7 separate regions of the Mus musculus genome follow, and regions 1, 2, 3, 4, 5 and 7 are each reported to be linked to region 6. The links are microRNA targets in miRTarBase. Many come from high-throughput screens and were not tested one by one. Region 6 holds a microRNA gene; each other region holds the end of a gene's coding sequence. Distances are from middle to middle.
What was found. The annotated mature microRNA mmu-miR-340-5p reads UUAUAAAGCAAUGAGACUGAUU and lies in region 6 at 1,569-1,590, opposite strand. An mRNA with a match to its seed (bases 2 to 7 or 8) in the 3' UTR can be bound and repressed. Matches are read on the target gene's strand: a 7mer-m8 pairs with bases 2 to 8, a 7mer-A1 pairs with bases 2 to 7 and ends in A, and an 8mer does both.

Region 1: the mRNA of Chmp4b is a reported target of mmu-miR-340-5p. Seed matches in the 3' UTR shown: 7mer-A1 at 2,525-2,531.
Region 2: miRTarBase lists Cwc25 as a target of mmu-miR-340-5p. Seed matches in the 3' UTR shown: 8mer at 2,722-2,729.
Region 3: miRTarBase lists Tfap2b as a target of mmu-miR-340-5p. Seed matches in the 3' UTR shown: 8mer at 928-935.
Region 4: the mRNA of Shroom2 is a reported target of mmu-miR-340-5p. The part of its 3' UTR that is shown has no 7-base or 8-base seed match.
Region 5: miRTarBase lists Pm20d2 as a target of mmu-miR-340-5p. The part of its 3' UTR that is shown has no 7-base or 8-base seed match.
Region 7: the mRNA of Papola is a reported target of mmu-miR-340-5p. The part of its 3' UTR that is shown has no 7-base or 8-base seed match.

The regions. Positions count from the first base shown.
Region 1 is chr2:154,693,523-154,696,751 of GRCm38, reverse strand. It overlaps Chmp4b (charged multivesicular body protein 4B), which reads right to left. Exons shown (of 5, transcript NM_029362.3): 5 at 1,969-2,808. The coding sequence ends at 2,744. Among named protein-coding and RNA genes, the nearest start is that of 9030607L20Rik, 19 kb to the right of the region's middle.
Region 2 is chr11:97,744,562-97,747,835 of GRCm38, forward strand. Cwc25 (CWC25 spliceosome-associated protein) reads right to left here. Exons shown (of 10, transcript NM_026186.4): 10 at 909-2,908. The coding sequence ends at 2,794. Mir8102 (microRNA 8102) reads left to right here and starts at 336; the gene lies at 336-474. It overlaps Pip4k2b (phosphatidylinositol-5-phosphate 4-kinase, type II, beta), which reads right to left and starts at 143. Exons shown (of 10, transcript NM_054051.1): 1 at 1-143. The coding sequence starts at 43.
Region 3 is chr1:19,233,828-19,237,101 of GRCm38, reverse strand. It overlaps Tfap2b (transcription factor AP-2 beta), which reads right to left. Exons shown (of 7, transcript NM_009334.3): 7 at 1-3,052. The coding sequence ends at 2,755. Among named protein-coding and RNA genes, the nearest start is that of Tfap2b, 27 kb to the right of the region's middle.
Region 4 is chrX:152,609,621-152,612,894 of GRCm38, forward strand. Shroom2 (shroom family member 2) reads right to left here. Exons shown (of 10, transcript NM_001290684.1): 10 at 1-3,174. The coding sequence ends at 2,908. Among named protein-coding and RNA genes, the nearest start is that of Cldn34a, 48 kb to the left of the region's middle.
Region 5 is chr4:33,171,498-33,174,771 of GRCm38, reverse strand. It overlaps Pm20d2 (peptidase M20 domain containing 2), which reads left to right. Exons shown (of 7, transcript NM_001034867.2): 6 at 1-28; 7 at 292-3,274. The coding sequence ends at 446. Among named protein-coding and RNA genes, the nearest start is that of Pm20d2, 17 kb to the left of the region's middle.
Region 6 is chr11:50,068,310-50,071,309 of GRCm38, reverse strand. It overlaps Mir340 (microRNA 340), which reads right to left and starts at 1,608; the gene lies at 1,511-1,608. It overlaps Rnf130 (ring finger protein 130), which reads right to left. Exons shown (of 9, transcript NM_021540.4): 3 at 1-139.
Region 7 is chr12:105,836,226-105,839,499 of GRCm38, forward strand. It overlaps Papola (poly (A) polymerase alpha), which reads left to right. Exons shown (of 22, transcript NM_011112.4): 22 at 540-2,719. The coding sequence ends at 635. Among named protein-coding and RNA genes, the nearest start is that of Papola, 53 kb to the left of the region's middle.

The DNA.
Region 1 (3,229 bases), not on the chromosome of region 6:
TTTAAGGGAAAGGCCCATGTGCCTAGGCAGCGCAGGAGGCAAAGCATTTTTTGTTTTGTTTTGAAGCAGGGTCTCTAAGCAGCCCTGTCCTGGAACTATCTATATAGGTCAGGCTGGCCTCGAACTCAAGTCTCCTCCCTCTACTTCCTGAGTGCTGGGATTAAGGGCGTATACCACGCTTGGCTGTTCTGGCTGCATTTAAGACAGTCTCACCACTACACACAACAAGCTAACCTTGAACTTGTTGTGGTCCTACTGCTGGGATTAGTTATGCACCATCACACCAGAAAGAGCTTTATTCTTGAGAACACAGTTGAGCCACTGAACCCTAACACTTCCATCGAGACTTCCTGTCCTGAGACCAACCTGCAAGTCCCCTCAAGGTGCTCTGTTGCATGTAAACTCAAGTTCCTACACAGAGTAGGTGCTAAAAAAACCAAACCAAAACAAAAAACCTGAGTGAATTTAGAGTAAGTATCATTTCTATGTGTTGGCTGTCTTCTGTTGCTTGTACCCAGAGTATCTAGTACAATAACATCTTTTCAGGCCTGAGAACTTCCTAAGCAAAAAAGAAAAAGAAAAAGGAAAAGAAAAAGGAAAAGAAAAAGAAAAAGAGAAAGAAAAAGAAAAAGAAAAAAAAAACTTCTAGACACTGGTGAGCACTATGCCCCACAGACCCAGGCACGAGGTATATGACTTGTAGAAATAAACACCCTTTTCTTGGAGGGAGCCCAGACAGCGCCCTGGTGTCTGTGCCCGTCAGAGCTGAGGGGAGAGACGTTCTAGGCAGCTGGAGAGACTCAAGAAAGGCTGCTCTGGTTTTCCCACATCAAAGGATGCTTGGGAGCCCCGGTCCTGTTGGCAGAGAGACCCTGGCAAGTAGAGCTTGTGACATTAGCCAAACCCAATCTCCCCCAAACCAGGCAATTTCAACTCAGGCATCAAGTCTCAATCATGAGTGTGGCAGCCAGGGTAGGAGCTGCTTCATTCAAAGAACACGAGACCTAGGGAGCTGTGGGGTAGGGACGGGAAGGGCTCCCATCAGTTCACTTTTGAACGATAAGTCTGGGGAAGGATTAGGAGACACAGCCATGTTGGAGGAGGTATCCCACTGGGGAATAGGCTCTGAGGTCTCAAAAGCCCACGCCGGGCCCAGTCACTCTGGCTCTAAAGTGTAGATTAGATGTGAGCTCTCAGCTACTGCTCCAAAATCATGCCTGCCTGCTGCCACGCTCCCGGATGCTATGATGGTGATGGAAACTGTAATCAAGTCCCCAATCAAATGTTTAAACGTTGACATGTGTCGGACTAAGACAGGAGAGTAGGCAGCTTGATCTGGGCACACTGAAAATAACAATATCCCATTGTGAACTCAGCCTGGTTTTAACCTTAGGACATTGAGAAGCTAGGGGAGTGGGGGTGACTTCTCAACCCTGAACTTGACATCAGGAGGAAGGAACACGTGGAGATCTACTTGACTGGAGGAGAGTGCCCAAAGCATCCGTCAGTTTCACAAGAGGGTAGAAGGATAAAGAAAAGTGCAGGGTGGAAGTGCTGGGCCAAAGATGCAGTGATTCTGCAGACGCAAATGGAGTGTGTGAGCATCTGTACATTGGTCCTCTGCCCACCACACGTCCTTGCTGTAGGAACACACACCACCTGACTGGGCCGTGTCTCACGAGGGCACCAGTTTCCACTAGACAGAGGCTCCCACAGGCACCGCCCTAGGTGCTGTCGGCAGACCGGAGGGAAGAGTCTGGGCTGCATAAGCACCATCTCTCTGACAGTGGACCCAGGCAGTCCCAGGCTAAGTGGGACCACAGCTCTGTGGCCTCCAGGATCTCTCGGTTTCTAGAAGATCCGTCTTCGCAAGTCCTTCAGGTTTCCCCAGAGGACCCTGGACAAGTGTTGGCCTGGAAAGGGTCAGCTCCCAGGGAAGGTGAGAGATTGACTGAACACACAGCGATATGAAAATTAAATCGAGATATTTAATAGACGGTGCAAACCATAATTTCATCTGAATATAAATGTATGCACACGTTTCCAATGAGCTATGTATCAATTATCACAACAGCAATGAGGACCTTAGAGCTACGTTAGAAAACTGGATAGCTGGAATTAACTCTAACAATCTTATTCGCTTGCAAGAGAACACATCCATTTCAGATCCGTGTCACAAACTCCAAAAGACCAGGGGGGACAGGAGTGACAAGGGCCAGGATGGTAGACATGGGGCCAGTACACAGGTGACAGACAGAAACACAGCTCTTGAGGGAACCAAAACTAGATGTGTTATTACAGCTAAGAACAAGGAAAAGCCTATCTATGGCTTTTAAAAAACGACTTTTCTGCCAGTACCGTACACATCTTACAGAGTGAGACACGTCAGCTGCAGGGCTACATTTCCAGTTCGCTTCAACTGCAAACGGCCGACCCTCCACAGAGGACGCAGCAGTGGGCTTAGCGCAGCCCAGCAACTCAGTGTTGGATTTGCAAATACAGTTTATTTTACAGAAATTCAACATTATAAACAGCAGGCACCTCCCCCCCGCCCCCCTCCCCCCACCCACCCCTGGGCACAGACCATGCTATGCGAGAGTGAGCAGTGGTGCGGCTACTGCTTTGGGTGAGAGCTGAGCGATGGAGGCTGCCTGCACCGCGTCCTGCCTGCCCTGCGCACGCACATGCCTGCCCGATGCACAGGCCACCAGAGTCCGTCTGGGCCCAGCCTCTGCTGGAACAGTTACATGGATCCGGCCCAGTTCTCCAATTCCTTCATGTCGTCATCTTCCTCTTCCTTCTTCTTGGCTGTGGATACAGAAAAAAATGCTCTTTGAAGCCTGGCTGGGAGCTGGAGCCATGCTTCTCTATGTGTATGTGTACGTGTACGTGTACGTGTACACACATACACACACACACACACACACACACACACACAGCCCTGTCCTGAGCGGAGACACACCTTCCACAACAACTCCCTTCAGCCCTCAGCAGGGGTGGCCACACCAGGTGGGACAGTTTCCACACTGAGCTCTAAGCTCCCAGAGCTGGGGAGACAGACAGGAGCTTCCCTCCCAAGAGACACAATCCTTGCCAAGCCAACTCCACATGGAGCTGCTGGAGCCTGCTTTGCTAGACTGCCTCCAACAGAGGAAGAGCCGCAGAAGAGCCAGGGGGCTCTCCTCTTTACCACGGCAGGGGGTGGGGTGGGAAGGGGGCTCTCCTCTTT
Region 2 (3,274 bases), 48 Mb from region 6:
GCGCCACCGCCACCGCCGTGGTGCTGGTGCAGTTGGACGACATGCCCGGGGCGGCGGCGGCGGCGAAAGGGGGGGCGGCGGAGACAGCGCACCAGCGAGCGGCCCCAGGCCTCCCCCGAACCGATCCCCACCCCCGCTGCCTCACCGAGCCATGGTCGCGCCCGTCCCGTTACCTCCCCACCCCGCCCCGGTGGTTCCGTCCGCCCCACGCCCCGCCCTCGCTGCGCCGGCCCGCCCCGCCCCGCCCCGCCCCGGGGAGCAGGCCAGCCTGATCCTCACCCCGCCCCCGGGCGGCACCGCCCACTGGATCCCGGCTCTCCCCTCCCCGTCGGAATGGTACCGCCCGTCCCCGGGCGCTTGCAGCTGCCCCGCCCACTCCTCCTCTCCCGGCCTGAAGGGAACCCAGCCGGCTTCACGCGGGGGAACGAGGAAGACTGGGGATGGACAGCCTCGAGGCACTCGGCAAGAAGGGCTCCCTACTCGGACACCCTCAAGGCCGGGCTTTGACTTTGCCTCCACATGAAGTACTAAAATGGCGGCAGCGCCGCCGCTTCGGGAGGGGAAGAGGGGCCGGCATGAGAAGAAGCTGGAACATACCATCTCCACCCCGGGGGACAGAGGAGTAACGCGGCAAAGGGGAAAGGAAGTCCTGCCTAGAAAACCAGGGACCGCCCCCTCGCTCCACCCAAGCGTGGATCTTCCCACTCCCCTGGGCCGACGGCTCGCTCCACCCGCAAGGTACGCCCCCTTTCCCGGGGGCCAATCAGAGGAGCAGGCCGGGAATCCTAGGTTTTATGAATGGGCCGCGCGCCCACCCACCTGCCGCCTAGCCTCCTCTATCCCGATGGTCAAGTTTAGACACCACTAGCATCTGTAGACGCGTATTGTAATAATCCTTTCATTCTTGCTCCAAGAAATCTCGAATAAACTGCCCATGGTTTATTATGTAATTCCACTTGGTCGAAGGGTCTCTGTATCCGACACAAATCACAGGTCAACACTTGGGATATCAAGACTCAGTACCAGGCACGTGGTAGATCGCTCTACACAGTTACAAAAATAAATGTAGCCTTTATTACCAAGTAATAAAATAAAAGCCATAATTAACTATAACATAGGGCAGAAGGATGAGATGATTAAATGAATAATGTTATATTGTCTGGGGAGAAACTGAGTTTTAAGAATTACAGTGCCAGCCGGTCGTGGTGGCGCATGCCTTTAATCCCAGCACTTGGGAGGCAGAGGCAGGCAGATTTCTGAGTTCAAGGCCAGCCTGGTCTACAGAGTGAGTTCCAGGACAGCCAGGGCTATCTATACTGAGAAACCCTGTCTCAAAAAGTAACAACAACAATAATTACAGTGACTGGAATTTTAGTGCTTAAATCCAAACATATTTTAGGAGAAATTAGGAACTGGTAGAACAACGAAATGGCTTAATATATGAATTAAGAGCACCTCTGAGGGCCAGATGGTCTGTAATCACAGCTCCAGAGACTAAAACAGGAGATCTACAGTTTAAGGTCAGCTACCGCTAGGGTGAATCTGTCGTCTGTTTAAAAAGCACCTAGAAGTTCCCTGGTCAAACAAATGAGGGCTTCTGGTGAAAGAATAGAGAAAGGAATGGCAGTAAAGACATGGGTGTGGCCCCTTGAGTCTTGTCTTAGATTTTTAGTTATTACAGGATAAAGGCAGCTGGAGGATGGGGATGGCCTAACCGCAGCCAGCACTCAGGAGGCTGAGGCAGGAGAGCCACCATCAGGCTGCCCTGGACCAGCAAGGGCCCTGTATCACAGACAAACCACAAAGCAGCAGTGGCAGGAGCAGCAACTGTGTGTGGTCAGAGGAGCTAAAGTGCAGGGTCACCGTCAGCTCCCCGGTCCAATCAAAGCTAGCCTGAGCTACAAGAGACCCTGCCTCAACAAACAAACAAATAAAAATTAGCCAGAAAGCAAAAAGCTTCCCAAGTATTTTCTTTCAGGAGTCATCGGACAACATGGGTCCTGATTCCTGCCCCACTGGGTGCCCACTGTAGGATGCCGAGGAACAGAGGAGGATATGTATGTCCCTTGGCAGGTGTGTCCTTCCTGAAGCCAGTACATACCTATAAATGTAGCCTAACACATTTGTAGAGGACAAAGTCATGTCCAAATGACAAAGAAGGTCAGTATCCCTCTGTTACCAGTAACTACTGTGTTACTTTTCTGACAAGGTCATCCAACAAAATGTTCTCCCAAGGCTAACTTTTTTAAAGCAAATATAGAACTATACATTTGTATATACACATCACACCATTACAGCGTAAAGCCCGGGTGGGTAGCAGTTCACTTAGGGCTTTTGGTTCTGTTTTCTCTTCCAGCTTCTTCAATTCTTGGCTCTTCCTGATGCTTGGCTATCCTGTCACATAATCTACTAAATAAAGTCAATGTTTGTTTATCCCAGTGAGCACCGTCCATCTGGGTGGCTCTTAAGAGAGGCCTCTGGAAGTCTGATCCATTCATTCAGGTGGGAGGGAAGAGGGATAACAAGCATCCAAGCCGTCCAGTGGCAGCCACTAAAACACAGTCAAACCCCACAGTGCATCCACATCCAGCCAAAGTTCCTGAGGAGCCCCGATTCAGGTCACATCAGTGTTTAACGGATGTGAAGTGTTTCAGGAGTCAGTGGACAAAGGGCACTTGAACAGTGGTGGGTTCTCATCTGTACAGGAAGCCATCTGAACTCTTATAAAGAGAATTTTAAGGAGTCAGTAGCCTCCCTGGAAAATTCAGGCAAAACAGTACAAGAGACTGGTTCTCATCTCCTCATGAAGTTCTTCTCCAGGGCCACCGACGTCCGCTGTAGGGAATGGATGTTGCGCTTCACGCGGTCCTCCAGGGAGGAGGTCGACGCACTCTCCAGCTTCATGCGGCTAGGGAAGGAAAGACAGGGGAGTGGGGAAAAAGGACATTTCAACTGGTCAGCCCTGGCAGAATCAGAAGAAACAGGTTTGCAGCCAGAAAGGAACTGTAGAAATACAAGTTCTTTTCAGCCCACATAGACAATTTTCAAAGGACTCCATCTGGAGCCAGGGCTTTTAAATGTCCATAAGGGAAAACTCATCTGTTTTGGAAAACAAGTCAAGTTTCATTGGAAAAAGGTTTTCTGAGCCACAAATTTTTACTTAAAAGGAAGGCCAAGGAATTTCAGTGATTTGGGAAAAATACCAATTACTTTTTCTATGTCAAGTAAAAATGCTATTATCTGGTTAGAAACTGGGAACAGTACCAAGAGTGGT
Region 3 (3,274 bases), not on the chromosome of region 6:
TAGCTGCCCCTTCGCTGATGCTCACAGGAACATCAGGGCATCTAAGGGAGCCTACCTACCCAAGAATGACAGTTCTTATTTCATGTCCACACTTCAGGCAATTAAAAAAAATGTCCACACTTCCTGGCAATAAAGAACACATGGAAGTTTCAAATTCCATGGACTTTTCCAAGCTACAAGGTCTCTGAGAGTAGAGCCCCTAGTGACCGCTTGCGGCAAAATGGCTTTACAGAGCTCTGGCATCCCTCCCCCGCAGCAGCCAGTGGGGCGCCGCCCCTTTACCTACTCGGGAACCGGCCCTTCGCGGCTGCCTTAGCCCTTAGGGTGAGGCCGAGAGCAAGAAGGGCCTGTACGGCTCGCGCCCTCAGCAGCTGCTGATTCTATGTCCTCAACACCACTGGGCTTCAGTGGCCCACATGTTCCCAGGACCTGCACAGTAAGAGCAAGGCGCATCCATCGCGTCTCTCGATGTCACACGCGTGGGGCGCGTTGCCCTGCAAGGAAAGGAGACGATGTTTTTCAATGTGTTTTCTGCTGGCTTCGTGCAATCAGAATTCAACTAATGCAAGCGTCCAGGTTCTTGGACAAATGGGGTGGGCTTCTAAACTGAGGAAAGATGAGAATCTATAGTTCACACATGTATTTTTTCCTGCCCTTTCTACTCCTTTCAGCCTCGTCTAGGGCTGTGTCCTGGAAACCTATGGGGCTCAGAAGCAGCTAGAGATAGGAGCAGAGATGTTGCCTGACCTCAATTTTTGTTTACAACCTTCATCCTTTGAGCGATTCCCTCAGAGGGTCCCTAAAACTTCAACCCCTTCCCTTGCTTCAAAGTGGATTGAAAAAGATAGGAATACTGAGAGTCCAGACTACTGGGGGAAGGGACTGTGTAAATCACAGAAAACATCTGAACATATATCCTAATGGATTTTATAAAGTTCCCGTCTAGGTAGGTGAAAAAAAATAAGTGTACCCAAACTAAATGTGTGCACCAATCAAATACTCTACTCCTTGAACTTGCTAAAGGTGCCGGTTTTACTTCGTGGTAATATTAAGATGGGGTACAGTAAAAAGTTGGACTAAGAGAAGAGAGATACATTAAATTCATGGAACTTCATCCATTAGGAATATTCCCAATAAATCAAGACAGGAATTCAAAGTTGAAATACAATCTCGTTCCCTTTGCCTTGTGTTTCTGGTGTGTGTGTGTGTGTGTGTGTGTGTGTGTGTGTGTGTGTGTGTACCATTTTATGCCAAAATACCTGTGTGTCTGAGAAGGAAAACTGTTTCATTCATAAAGCAGAGTCATGGTAGTTTATAGACTGTCTTCCCCAATCACTCAGCAAAACTACTTCTTTCCCCCATTAAAACATCCAGTCCCCAAAGAGCCCAAGGAAATGGAATCCATTTTTCCAGTAAAGACAATACCATTACAATATAGGTCCCAAAGCCAAGATACCTTACTCGACTCCCTTAAAATGCATTCTGCAGTGTCCCGCCCCTGCTGGAATTCCTGCGTTGAGGTGTGTTAGCAAGAAATCCAAAGCCGCTCCCCCCAACACTGGCCACTTCCTAAATGATTCTCTTTGAGCTTCTTTAAAGAAGTAAAACCTGCCGAATCTGACAGGCAGGCTTTAACTTTAAAAAGGATCAGGTTGTTGCTGTTGTTTCTCAGTACCTTATAGATTGTGTAGGAAGCCCAAATCTTCCTTGAAGAAGCTCATAAACCATGCGGGTAAAGCTTGGGGAAACAGAAGAGAGTCAGTGGTACATACCCCTCCGAAGGAATTACATACTAATCAAAGTTTTCATGTTTTGGTTTTTGTTTTTTCCTTTCTTTTCCTTTCTTTTTAAACTATACCGCTAGATGACACAAGTATAACAAATGTAATATTCTCTGTGAACAGGTGCTGTCACGTCTGGGAGACTAGTAACATTTTCTAAAAGGAACCAAGATGAATCAACTTATCGGTTTCCTCTCTGCCGCGGGAGCCTGGGCTCTCAAGCCTGGATCAAAAGCTAGAGCCTCCGCCTGTCCCCCACCCCCACCCTTGGCCTCCCTAATTAAACACACCGGGGCGGGGTGAGGGTGAGGGTGGGGGTGGAGGGGAGGTAGGGGAGTTGGGCTCAGGGGAGTTAGGAACGCAAGGCGCGGTCTGGACACCAAAGGGGCTAACACCAGAGAGCTAATCACACTCGTGATCACCCAGCAGATTTCCGGGATCGCTGTGAGGAAGGGAGAAAGGGAAGCAGCGGTGAGGAGAATGAGGAGAAATGGAGGGCGCGAAGTGCGAGAGTTTCCTTAAAAAAAAAAAAAATTAAATTAAAGATTTAAAAGTTCGTGCGTCTCAGTCAACCAGCTCTCAAAAGCATTGACACCAACGTTTCTCCAATTTTCTTCCAATAAGTTAGCGTGTTCTCATGTTTAGTCTCACGTTTTATTTTCCAAAAGGGGGATTCATAGTTTTCCTTTTTTATCTGTATTACTAAATTCGAAAGAACCGAAGTGGAAAATCCGGACGGTTGTCTCCACGTGTATCTTGAAATAGACACCGAGAGCCGGTTTGTTGCTCCGTTGTATGCCTCAGTTTATTTTTTTTTAACGTTATTTAGCTTTCTTTTTAAATTTTGATTGTATGTGTATTCTACCTAATATAATTCCTCCAAAGCCAATCCAATATGTTAAAGCTAAATTTATTTTTTTTCTGTTTTCCTTTTGTATTTAAAACATTTTCCTTCTCTTTAATTTTTTTTTTTTCATTTCCTGTGTTTCTCCTCCTTGTCGCCAGTTTTACTACCTGGGCCTTCCCCAGACGTGTGCCTGTTAGTGGTGTTGTTCAAGAACATCTTGTCCATGCCTTTGAGCGCCTCGGTGAGATAGTTCTGCAGGGCCGTGAGCGCAGCGCAAATGGCCGGGGCACCGAAGCCGTGCGTGATGAGACTGAAGTGCGTGAGACAGCTTTGGATGCCCGGCTCCAGGATGGGGCTGGGCCTGCTGTTTCCGATCGGTGTCCGGTCCTGAGCCAGCAGATCCGTAAATTCTTTACAAAGTTGCCTGAGAAGGGGTGAGGGAAGAAGACAAAAGCACCCTCAGAGTTCTGGTCGCTCGCCTAGAAAACCAGACACTCACACAAGCCCTGAGGCTTTGGGTCTGAGGACAGCAAAGCTATCTTTCGGGATTCCTCTCCATTTCTTTCCCCCGGGGCACTCCCTCACCCAAGCAGCTGGGACTAGAAAGAACTCAGGGAGAGGAGGGATGCACCCCTCCCACAACCCT
Region 4 (3,274 bases), not on the chromosome of region 6:
TTTTTGTTGGGTCACACAATTATGACATGTGTGATAAGAAGTCACACTGTTGACTTAGAAAGGACAAAATACATAGCAGCCTGAATCAAGCTAAATCACAAGAATTTTATCTACTATGCCCCTTTAAGGATGTGTTTGGCACCCGTATATAGAAGGAAAAACTGTGCTGTGGGTCCAGCTGTGCACCACTCTAAGGACCAGGATTGCAGGTGTTCCCCACAGTGCCTGGCTTAGGCTATTTTCTGGAGGAGAAATGCTACTATTTGAAGTCAGAACACCATGTTCAAACCCTTCCCCATGGGCTACATGCCCAGCACTGGTATTTTTATTCTTTTTACAAAGCTATACAGTAGGAAATAAAGACATTCTACTTTCATCTGAAGAGACACTATTTATTTTGTTAAAGTCAAGCAAGAGGATCTGTTGATAAGTGGTAAGCATCAAGCATGAATGTGCATATTTGCCAGGGCAGAGTTCAGGGTAAAGCCACAAAAGCTGACCACAAGCAAGGTCAGTATATTTACAGAGAGTTCCATAGCTGTGCCCATGCCCATGCCTATGCATGCCAAGGACCAACCATTAGCACCAGATTGTTTCTTATGCAGTAATATCACAAGTCATAGACATATGTACATGGACTCTCTGGAATTCTTGGGTCCCTGCTAATCAGACATGGAACAGGCAAGCAGGGGATGGATAAGAAGGTCATAATTGTTATGTGTTTCATTACAAGCATGCTAGAGCACTACATATTGTTTCCCATAACAGACAAGCTTGAAGCAACATGAAAAAGCAGGTTACAGACAAACAAAATTCCATTACTCACATGTTACACACATATCATTAAAATGTTCACAACACTGTATTTGGGATTAAAGAACCACAGGTAAATAGCTTGGTGTAAATTAAAAACAAAATAGTCTGCAACACCTTGGATAGTTTGTGGAGAGCCAATATCGTGTTTTCTGACATGACCCACATTCACAGCAAAGGATGACCAAGTGGAAGGAGAAAGAGGCTGCAGTGGCAGATCAGGAACTTCAAAAGGTAGAATAGTTTCATTTAACAGGAATCAACACTTTTGCAAAGATTTTCTTCTGACTGACAGTGATAGGATGTCAACCATGTCATCCATGGTCTGCATATAAAATCTCGCCAATCTTGACTCAGCTGTATGGAGGACACTGTATCATCTTCACCAGAGCTTCTGCTGTCAACGTCTGTTCCTCTGGCTCAAGAAGCATGGATTCTGGTCCTTTAAGACAACTGTGTGTGGGAGTGTGAACACGTGCACATACACATGGATGTAAATGTGCATGTGTATTTTGGAAAAGGTGTGGCTACTGCTAAGAGAGGGAAATCTTCGTATATGCTGCAGTCTCAGGGGAACATACGAATTAAATAATCCCTTGGTAGAACAAAGACTAGTGATGCCTAAATACCAAGTCACCAAGAGACTTGCTCATCACTTACCATGCACTTAGTTACAGAAACACCTTTTGAACAACACCAAATCTACACACATTTAACATAAGCAAGTTATACACGCCATTGGTAGCTGAACATTTCCCATGTGTTTATCTGCCATACATATATCCTCTTTGGTGAAGGGTCTAGTCAAGTCTTTTGCCCACTTTTTTTTTTTCAAACAATTCCTACTATTGGATGTTGGAAGTTCTTTATACAAATCCTTTATCAGATAGATGTATGAAGTCATGAAGTGGGATATGCTGCTAAACCCAGAACTCAGGATGTGGAGGCAGGAGGATCAGGAGTTCAAGGTCATTGGACTACATAGGGAGTTTGAAGCCAATCTGGGTTAGACTCTTCTAAAACAAACAAATAATAACAAAAACAAAATGAGCAACAAGTCAGACACATGATTTAAAAATGTCTTTTCCCAATCTGTCCTGTCAACTGGAAACCAACAGAATGACAGTGTAGCTTTCATGAATAACACTCTATTTGTCATCTTGCCATTTGAACTGTTAAGGACAAAACTCTGTTTCAAATGTAAGCACTAGTCACTCCACAGGACCTCTGACCACTAGATGGAGTCTTAAGTCTTAAGGTATGTGGCATGTGGCATGTGGCCCATGGTAACAGACATAAAAAGAGATAAACCACTGATTATCATTAAAGATCATATACACAAATTAGTGTTCCAGGGAAGGAAACTTCAAAATATTCCATTGGTCTCAGGAAATAAAAAGCAAGCAATAACATTATTAGTAGACACACTTTTATCCAATTAAAATCACTTGGCTAGAAAGTATTTAAGATGTGACAAGAAGGATACTAGATATCTGTTTAGGGTATTTCAAAACATGCACACAAGTTATGTGATAATTTTAATCTTGGAATGAATGGATCCAATATGTAGATTGTTCATTTTATAGTTAGTCTTTAACTACTAGGAAACTGTTCATGTTTTCCACACATGAATAAATATCATCACTGATTTTTACTGAGTCAGAGAATGTCACCATGACAGAATGAGGAATGCTCACATTGTTAAATGAACAAGGACAGAACACACAGCAGCCCGTGTCTGGCTAAATCACAAGGGTCTTTCCTCTCATGCACTGTAGGACTGTATTTGGCATCTACACGAGGGAGGAACATTGGTGCCACTGCTGCAAAGGAGGGCTAGAGAACCCTTGTTGTTTAGCAAAGCCTGGCATTCTGTGAAATCACATGTGATATGAAACTATGTTCAGCAAACCAACAGAAATGAAAATCATAAATAAATCATCACATACTAGCAGGACATTATTGCTTTTTTACTAGCCTCGTGGCTCCAGAGTATGTCTCTCCAGAGATGGGCAAATAGGCTTGGGTTCACTCTTATAGTCTCAGGCATTAATCTCCAGGGCTTGGTGTCCACCTTCTGTAGGAATGTGCCTCTCATTTGCTTCTCTCAGGCTGTAGGCTGTCAAACAAACACTTGAGCTGCTCTTCACCCAGGTGGATTTTATCTTCCAGCTCTCGCTGCTCAATGATGAGAGCTGACTTCATCTTCACGAAGTGCTCATAGTCAGCCAGGTTCTCCTCGCTGAGGTAGGTAGCCAGGATGTCGAACACAATGCGCTCACGGCGGTCCAGGTTCTCTTTAAGCTCCTTGGCATCCTCGTGCTGCTGAGTTAGGACTCTCTGTTTCTCCAACAGTGACTGCTATTAAGGGGAAGGGAGACAGAAAGTTCAGTCGAGGCAGGACTAAAGTAGAGGCTGGCTAACCACTGAGAGGCCCTGCAGGGTTTGGAGACTTGGAAAT
Region 5 (3,274 bases), not on the chromosome of region 6:
CACACGGAGCAGTACACAGAAGCTGCAGGTGAGCGCCAGCTGTGAGTACCCGGGGTTCTCTGCCAGCTGTGAGTACCCGGAATTCTCTGCCAGCTGTGAGTACCCGGGTTCGCCTCCTCTTCCTGCTCAGTGCTGCTCTTTAGCCTGTTCTCCCATATAATCACTTCAGAAAACACGGTGTTGTGCTCAGAGGGTGGAGAGGCAGTTTAGATACTGAGAGGTAACCAGAGGAACTAATAAATGTACTGTGATCTAGAGAGAGGTTTTCAATGTGTTTTCTTCACCTCCCAGGATCACAAGCGGCTCAGCTGTACACGCTGCGTACAGCCAAGGCTCTGGCAATGACCGCACTGGACGTCATCTTTAAGCCTGCATTGCTCGAAGGAGTCAGGAAGGAGTTTAAATGTAAACTTCAAGAAGAGCAGCTTTTAAATACAGCAGCATAGAAGGAAACCCTAGGGACTGGTCAGGAAATGTTACGTTTTGTTTGTTTTTTACCTCTCATGTTTTTCAGTGAAAGAGAGCATGCTTGTTTTTCAGTCCTGGTAAGTGAGGACAGATATAGGGAAGAAGACACGAATGCACGTCTAGATTTAGTGGAGTTTGTGATACTGCAGGCGTTGGTGCGTAACGCCATCTATTACGCCAGATGATACCTGATCCTGTAACATTCGGTAATGTTTTGTAAGTGTATCTGCTGTATGGTGTTACAAGTCCCACGGGTTTCAGAAGGTGACACTCATGAACTCTGTGGTTCAGAGTAGGGAATGTCTTCTCGGCAGTTTAAATCGAGGGGGAGACTTGTTTTAAGTCTAACTGTATCTGTTTGGGTCTAAAGAAAAACTTGAAATAAACATATGCTTGTGGGACACTCCTAGAATCCCCAGTACAAAGAATTAGCTCTACTTTTAACACTTAGAGAAGGGGCGAGGAGGAGTGGAGGGAATGGTGGAAGAGGGAGAGGGAGAGAGAGAGAGAGAGAGAGAGAGATCTTTACTTACATGTAATTACTCCAAGAAGTGGCATAGGAACAGTGGGTAGTAACAGGAAAAATGGCAGAAAGGCACAGTTGAGCCTTTCTAGCAGGGTAGGGTGTTGTGTGTTGTGTTACAGGAGTTGGCCGGAGTACAGACTAGGTGTGCTCTGTTCTCCAGTGTCCCACACGGTCCCCAGTCCCTAGCAGCCTCAGAAGAGCCCCAAAGCCCTGTGCTGGCCCAGTAGTAATGTGAACCCATGGCCTTGGAAAGGAGGCTCCGTAGCTCCTAATGAGACTTAGTTAAGCTTCCTGCAGTTTCTCTGGACTTTCTTTTGTGCCTTGTCTGCTCGCTCCCTGGTTTGTGTCACCACAGCATTTGTAGAGCCACAGGAGGGAGTTGTTTTTACAAGGAAGCCAGGATTCGAGCTGGAAATCTGAAACATTTCAGTGGTTGTCAGTAAAATCACTGTCAGTAATGCCCTGGAAAGGAGCGAGTCACATAAAATCAGCAGTTCTTCATGGTCCTCACTGTAGCACAAGTTTCTTTGGTTTTGGTGGGGCTGAGTTTGAGACAGGTTTTCCCTTCTGCCCGCCTCCTCCCCACTCTCTTCCCTCTGCTGCTGCCTCTCAGATGCTGTGATTATAGGCTCGAGCACAGCACACCTGCCATCTAGTGTGAACTTGCACATGATTAAAGTGTGAAGAAGCCGGTAAAACCAACTCGTGGGCATTTGAGGAGGCGGTTCAGAGTCAGAAGTGGAAGGGCACAGGGAAGTGCATTTGCTTCTGTGGTGGAAGCAAGTCACTTTCCCTCAGTGACACCAGCTGCCACTTAGAAGGTTAGCCATCTTTGACCCTTCTAGCCTCTGATTTCCTGTTTGATGTGTACTTTAGAACAGGGAGCGGGGTTGTATTGGAGGGCTAACATCTGAGAACTGCTCTCTGCTGTTCTCTGGCTTGACATAGGCTGGTGTTTGCTTGATTACTTGCCTTTGTGCAGCTAGTATACTAAGAATTGTTTTGCATTTTAGAGGTTAAAAAAAAAACCCCAAAAACAAAAAACCACCATTACCACAAAGCATAAAGTATTTACTGTCTGACCTGTCAGGAAAAAGAAACCTCTCAGAGCCAGTCAATCGGGCAGTTTCTGATTTCTGTTCTCTTGAATTTTCTGGGGAAAGCTTCAAGTCCTGCATTGGAAGCACTTTAGTGTAGATAGGGGCTGCCTGACAGAGTGATCAGGACTGTTCCACCCTCTACTTTGTCCTTCTAGACAGAAGCCTGTTTCAGCTCCCCTCACCCTGCCCCACAAGTCCTCAGCCTTGCCTCTGCACACCACCCGTTCTGTCTTTGCGTAACATTGAGAACTCAGTCCTCCATGACACCTTGTGTCTGGATACTCACACCCGAGTTTATCATATTAAATACAAATTTTGTATAAAGAGGGAGTATCAATGAAAACTTGAATCAAAAAATAAGACATGCCAGAGATGTGGTTTTTTTTTATTGATGGACTTGGTCTCCTAAAAGGCTGTTTTATTAGTTCCTCACATCTTGAGGGATAGGTTTTTTTGTTGATTGATTTAGTTTTGGTTTTTGCAGGGCTTGATATTGAGACCAGGGCTCTAGCACAGAGCTGCATCCCCAGCTCCAGGGCAGGGCATTGGTTGCATTTGCTATAATCTTGACACCATCCTAGAACAGCTGTTGTTATTTATGCAGCCCAACCTCTGAGAATCATGTGTATTCCGTGTCTGGTTTCCTTTTCCTTTTTTTTTTTTTAAGTAAAATTAAATTTGACTGATGTATAAACAATGTCGGGTTTAGGTAGGTAAGGAAGGGTGTGTTTCTTGTTGGAGGTTGCTGCTGTGATTTTACAATTTGCTGTCTTATTGTCCAATGGTTTACCATTTTGAACCACTTACACCATGTCCTTACAAATGCCTTTTCCTGTCACCTGGGAGAGGTGTTACGTCAATGCATTCTAGAATGAGTAAGCTACACTTAGCAGCTTAAATGTAATTACAATCTGAAATTTATTTTCCTTTACCAGCTTAATTCTAAGGAAGCTTGAATATGGGACCTGTGCAGTACAGGTGTTAAAGTTATGTTTCCTTTTTCCTAAATGCCTGAGACCAGCGGTGTTTCAGATTTTAGATTAAAAAAATGTTTTGAAATATTTGCATATATATTATGTAATCTATATTTTATACATATATATGTATATACAAACAGGGAGGGGGAAGATAGAGATGGAACCCAGCTAGAGCTATAAAAATCCCTTTGTGTATCACATGG
Region 6 (3,000 bases):
GAGCCACGGCTGAAGTTCTTTGGCGGCATTCGAGTTCCAACAGCTATTGTCATTTGTACAGAGATGTTTTTCTCCAGATAACTCAAAATATCCTTACCCCTCAATTCTGTTATCATGACAGCAATAATATCTCCCGTGCCTGTAATGTAAAACAAATACACAGACTAAAGTGACATCTGAAATTCATAGACACATCAAATAAATATACACATATGCTCCATAGAGAAATTACCATAATTTTCACTAAGGTTTATAGATTCCAGTTCAACTGACATGAGGCTGCAGCTGTGTAAACTGACAGGCATGAGAACATGTACAGTGCTCCAAACAGGTAACGCATAAAGCAACTGTGGTGTTAACAATGCACAAACTGCCTTACCGGTGCATTAGAAGCACTGTGAAAGCAGCCACCTGTGACTAAATCAGGTTAAGTCTTCAGTAGAAAACCTTTCTATAGCAATCAATCTGGAAAGTTCTGACAGAGAAGCACTGTCATTTACAGTCTGAACAGGTGGTCCTTGCACTACTCATCCTCACACGCACTGCTGAGCAAGGACTGCTCTAAGAAACAGAAAGAAGGGTACTTCTTAGGGCACACACTTGGCTATGGAGTGACAAGTGCCGAACGGCAACATCTTTTACCAACAACCTTTGAAACTAACTTTGGTCTTCTGTCTACAGTAAAGCTCCTTCCAGGGCACTTCTGGAGCTCAAACGCAACAATTTTCCCACCCAGTTTGGAGCCAGCATCTCACATTGCCTCGGCTAGCCTCAGACTTGAGTTTTATGTTAGTTTTCCACCTTGTTTAACCATGCCCAGCGCACTCAAATCCTCTAGGCAGGCCCAAGTTTCAACTTTCTGGACTACTACCCATAATGATACCTAAAACCTTCAGTTCCTAAAAGCTGTTCAGAGTTCTGCCCACAGGCACAACTTTTATAAGTTAATTACAAGGATGGTTCAGTTGTGTTTTCAAGTCCTTTTCTCACATGGCTTCAAGGGCCTGTTTTAAGTCAGAGTGAGCAGCTACTCACCAAGGTCACTTTTGTGAGTATGAAGGAGGATTGTGCATCCAAACACAAAATACCCTCTCAAAACAGCAAGCAGAGACCCCAGACCTGACCTTTTGAAGGCTCTGTCAACAAATATTAGAAACACTTGTTTTGATTTCTTGTTACCTTTAGCAGTCAAGATGAGACACAACAGAAACTCAGTAACAGAAGTTTTGAAAAAAATATAGCTCAATGGAATATATATTTGCATAATACTGTATTCAAAACGGTTTATTCACTTTATTAGAGTAGTAGTTTACCAGTTTATTTTTGCTTAAAAAATCTATAAACAAAAAGGAGACAACAAAATTAAAACTAGCATTATTAAGTTAACATCTGCCTCTGGTGAGTGAGTTAAAAAGAATCATAAAAGAATGCTAAACCAGTTTAAATTTCCATTTAGAAACCTTAAGTTTGTGCTTTTACAATGTTGATCAACAGGCATGATCTGTGGTGTTAAGATACCAGGTATGGCTATAAAGTAACTGAGACGGATCCCACAAACGACATATGACAATCAGTCTCATTGCTTTATAATCACACCAAGTACAATTGGTTTTAGAAATCAGTTCTGAGGCTCCCTCTTGAAGACTCAAGCTGGAAGTGGGGAGAGCTGCACAGGTAGCCAAGGCAACCAATCCAGTAATTTCCTTAACCGAACACTAAATGGGCGCGTCAACTAATCTCAACAGGAAGCTGTTTGGGAAAGAAAAATTTAATTAGTTCAACACTTGTCAATATTCACTGTTAGGAGGACAAGAGTGAATAGATCTCACTGTAGCTTTATCATCCTAGCAAAAAGAGGAGACTGGGCAATGTTGCCAAAGGAGACTGAAAATGATCAAATAAAAAAGTACAGCAGCACATCTGATATTAGTGAAGGCAGTGATCTCTTACAGAAGGTGATGAAGCAAACTACAAACCCTCCTAGGAAAAAAGTTTCTTTCTCCCCAACATCTAGAGCTGGGCTGGGTTCAAAGAGCCTAACAAGATGGCTCAGACATTTACAAATGGGGATGGGACTAAAGAGATGGCTAAGAGCACTGGTTGATCTTGCAGAGGACGAGGTTTGGTTCCCAGCATCAATATGGCAGCTCATAACTACTGTAACTCCAATTCTAGAGGGAACAGACACTCTCTTCTGGCCTTCGAGGGCTCTGTACACATGGTGCACATAGACTCATGCAGGTATACACACACACACACACACACACACACACACAATAAAAAAGTAAATAAACCTTAAAAACAAAACAAAAAACTCTTGGGAGAGTTGGTGCAGATTCAGGAGGGATGATGACAACAGAGGAAACTTAACCCTCAGGATAAAACTAGGATTAGAGTAGCAGTAGCTGGTAGGAGAGAGGGGTTAATTAGACTGAAGTAATGGAAACATTAAACAGATACAAAGAATGTGACCAGATCACCCCTATGCCTGTGTTCTGAAACACCAAGACATGGCTTTGGAGTTCAACAATCATGCAGCTATGTGTTCCTTTTCTACTGCTGTGGTTAAACATCATAGCCAACATAACGTATACAAGGAGGGGCTTGTTTGGCTTATAGTTCCATCATGGTGGGGAAGAATGGCAGCAAACTGTAGGTAGGAACTGGATGCCAAGAACTCACACCTTTTTAAAAACACTGTTAATTTCAATTATGTGTTTATGTGTGTAGCTTTGTGCATGCAAGTTATAGTTGCCTGTGGAGACCAGGAGTCACAGACCCCCTGGAAGGGGGGATACGGGCAGTTGTGAGAGACCTGTTGTGGGTGCTGGGAATTGAACTCAGGTTCTCTCCATGAGCAGAAGAATGCCCTGGAAACCTCTGAGTCATCTCTCCAGTCTCACATCTTGAACCATAAGCACTAAGCTGAGAGAACAGCAGTAAATTTTGGGAATCTTTAAACTTTCAAAGCTGGACTCTACTAATACACTCCTCTTCCAA
Region 7 (3,274 bases), not on the chromosome of region 6:
AAAGATGCCTTGTAATAAAATTTGTGATACAATTTTTTTTAATTCCCTAAAAGTTGAGTTAAATTATTGTTCAGTTATATAGTTAATTTTATAATTTAGAGTGTCAGAAAATAACTGCTAAATGCTAGCTGTGTGTCTCAGGTGAATGTAAGTGCTTCCTCCACACGAGGGCACTCCGACACCACTTCTTGTTAGAGCAGTTAGTATGGTAAACTGGGCCCAACAGTAATTAAGTGTTATTTTATTAATAATATCTTTCTCTCTCTTGTTCTTTATTTTGTGAAATATATTTTTAAGATTTCTATTTGAAGTTACAAAATAATTTTTGGTAAATCCTGAAAATGTTATTATTTGAAAATGTCTGCAAGTCTAGTTATGTTTATTTGCGCTGCATATTTTCCATTTAAAATTGATTTTTCTTTTTAAATTTGCCTCATAATAAAGCTGCATCCTTTCCTAGGAGTAAGGCGGTGGGACACGCATCCCATTTTAAGTCACAGTGCTTTAAACTGTGGTGTGTTGTTTGCTTTCATTCTCAGAAAACATCCAGTACAGACCTTTCTGATATCCCTGCTCTCCCTGCAAATCCTATTCCTGTTATCAAGAATTCAATAAAACTGAGACTGAATCGGTAAAACCACCTCAGGGTCCATAAACAGTATCTGCCAACTCAACCCGTTGTCTCCAGATGCTTAAACAAAGGAAAGAAAGAAAGAAAGGAAAAGAGGAGATTGGAGGGACAAGACTAGACCTGACTGACAGTGGGTTTAGCTGTTTGGTGGCCTCCCTGCCTTGGGCTCATGAGCACTTGATCAGAAGTCCAGGTTAGTATGCGAAGCCAGGAGTGCTATTATTACTGTGTTAGCGACAGCTGCATTAACTACTCAGAAAAATTACTGCCTTTAAGAAGGAAACAAAACAAAACCCTCGAGCTATGTTTGTATCCATAACTGACATCCGGATCGCGCCTCTGTGTGCTGCATTGTTTGGAAAACTGCAATACAAGCTGGCAGAAGAACTCCTCATTCTGATGATGCACTTTTATGTATTTTTTTTTAATTAGAAAGTAGAACTAATTTTAGATTTTCAGCTTAATGGATTTTCAATTTTTTTTCCCCAAAGAATTTTCTTTACAATTAGTCTTTAAATTGGATACGTTGTGCATTGGTGTACCATTCTGTCCCAGAAAGGGCAGGAGGACACCGAGCTCAGCCCAGTCCTTACGGGCAGCTGTAGCCCTTAGGGTGAATTGTCAATGCTAAGGTATACTTTGGACACTGAAAGAAGAATTAGGCGATACTTGGTTTTGATGAGGTTATGATTAAGCAGTATATATTCCTTTTATTTATAGAGTTGTTTTATAGTGCATACAAATCAGCATTCGGCCAACAAGTGTGGTCTTTGAGCTTTCGCAAGCTCTGTTCTTTTGCCTTCAGTCTGTTAGTCTTCAGAAAGACAGTGCTCCCCCACCCCCTTTTATTTTATTTTTTGCCTTTCTTTTTTCCCCTTTGCTTGTATGCACAAGGTAAGGCTTATTTCACAGAAACCAGAATGCCAGTATTTTCCTAAGCCATGACATGTAACCTTGACCCTGTGGCTGCGTGACACAGACACTAACTTTGGTCCCATGGCTAGAACTTGAGAGTGACTGAAGCCATACCTGTGAAGCATCCCCGGAGGCGGCCCTTTGATCTCTGCGAGGACTTTTGTACACTCCACACAACTCCTGTTCCTGTCTTAGACAAATTGATTTTCATTTTTAAAAGTGGGCAAAAGGCATTTTCTTCCAGATTTTTAAACTAATTTTTATTTTTAACCAGTTTATCAAAATTTGTCAGTGAATTTTACATACAAAAACATTTTAAAAATCATTTCTAGTAAGCACTTGACATTTAGTCAGCTTTCCACTTTTGAATTTTTTTTTTTGTTCTATCAAAAATTAGAAATCTTCTTTAAAGACAATGATTTCTCATAATTAAGTAGCAGAATTCTCGTCCATCTTGTGACATCTGACGGGTGCCAGATGTTGATAAAGTTACTCTTTGTTAATCTGGGTAAAACAGACCTGTAGCAGCAGATCTTTGTATGAGCATGGTTTTTGAATCCTTCATTTCGCTGCATTCTATCACACGTTTGTGCATTTTCATGTTACACTGCAATTACTTAAACTCTCCCCTGTCCTTCCAAATTAATTTCCAAAGTTGGAGTATAGTCTTTCCCCTGAAGCTATGCATTAATTAAGGCTTTCTTTACCACTTACATTGTTTATATACAGTGTTCTACTCTCCACCTCTTGCTCTGCAGTCACCTTGCCCTTCCTCCCACCATTTGAGTAAAGAAGACGGTCCGCTAACAGGTGACATGTACTGGTGTCTGTGTGTGTAGCTTCAGAGTTAGATTGACATCACCAGGCACAGATTTAGTCTTGTCGTTTTGTTTACACATTGGGGAAAAATTCAGTTTAATAAACGTTCCATGTAACTGCATCCAAGTTTCACCAGGCTGGAGACGTGGATCTTTTCTGTGTAGTGACTTTTTACTTCTAGTTTCCATAACCTGGAGATCAGACTGTTGCTTTCGCATGATGTAAGTAGTGTCTCATGACTGGAGTTTGCTTTGTTTTATAGTATCTGTACTCCTTGTATTTTTCAAGAGCTATTTTGTAAACAGATGATGTATTTCTCCATTGAAAACACAATAAAAAAAAAAACAGCACAAATCCCATAGTTGGCTGGTTTCTTTTGACTCTCTCTCTCCCTCTCCCCCTTTCAGCAATCTAATTAATTAGTTCTACATACAAATATATGGTGTGGCCCCAAATGAAGATTGGAATTTAATGTGCTTATATTTGGCAGGTTTGTTTTAGGTTAGCCTATTTGTAACCCAGTACTAATGTGTCACACGATAGCAGGCAATGTTGTTAACCTAGATGATCGTTAGGGAGAAAAGGGTGGTTATAGCTACCACTAACTCACTCTGAACAATTCCATTTTCTACAGTAGTGTTCTGTCTAGTCTGAGCACTGTACATTTCCCGGTACTGATGCATATGGCTCTTTCATGCCTCTACTTTCATTTCTCTGTCAGCAGGTGGCACTGTTGTTTTTCAGTAGGTTTATAATTGTGTCTTACAGCTTGAATCTTGTTTATTTTACTGGATCAAATTCTGACATTTTTCTTAAATCCTCACACACATTGCGTAAAAGAGAAGTAGACTGTTTTAAGTTTGTGATGGCCAACTTTTAGGGATGATTATCTTAGTGTCTTGAGTGTGT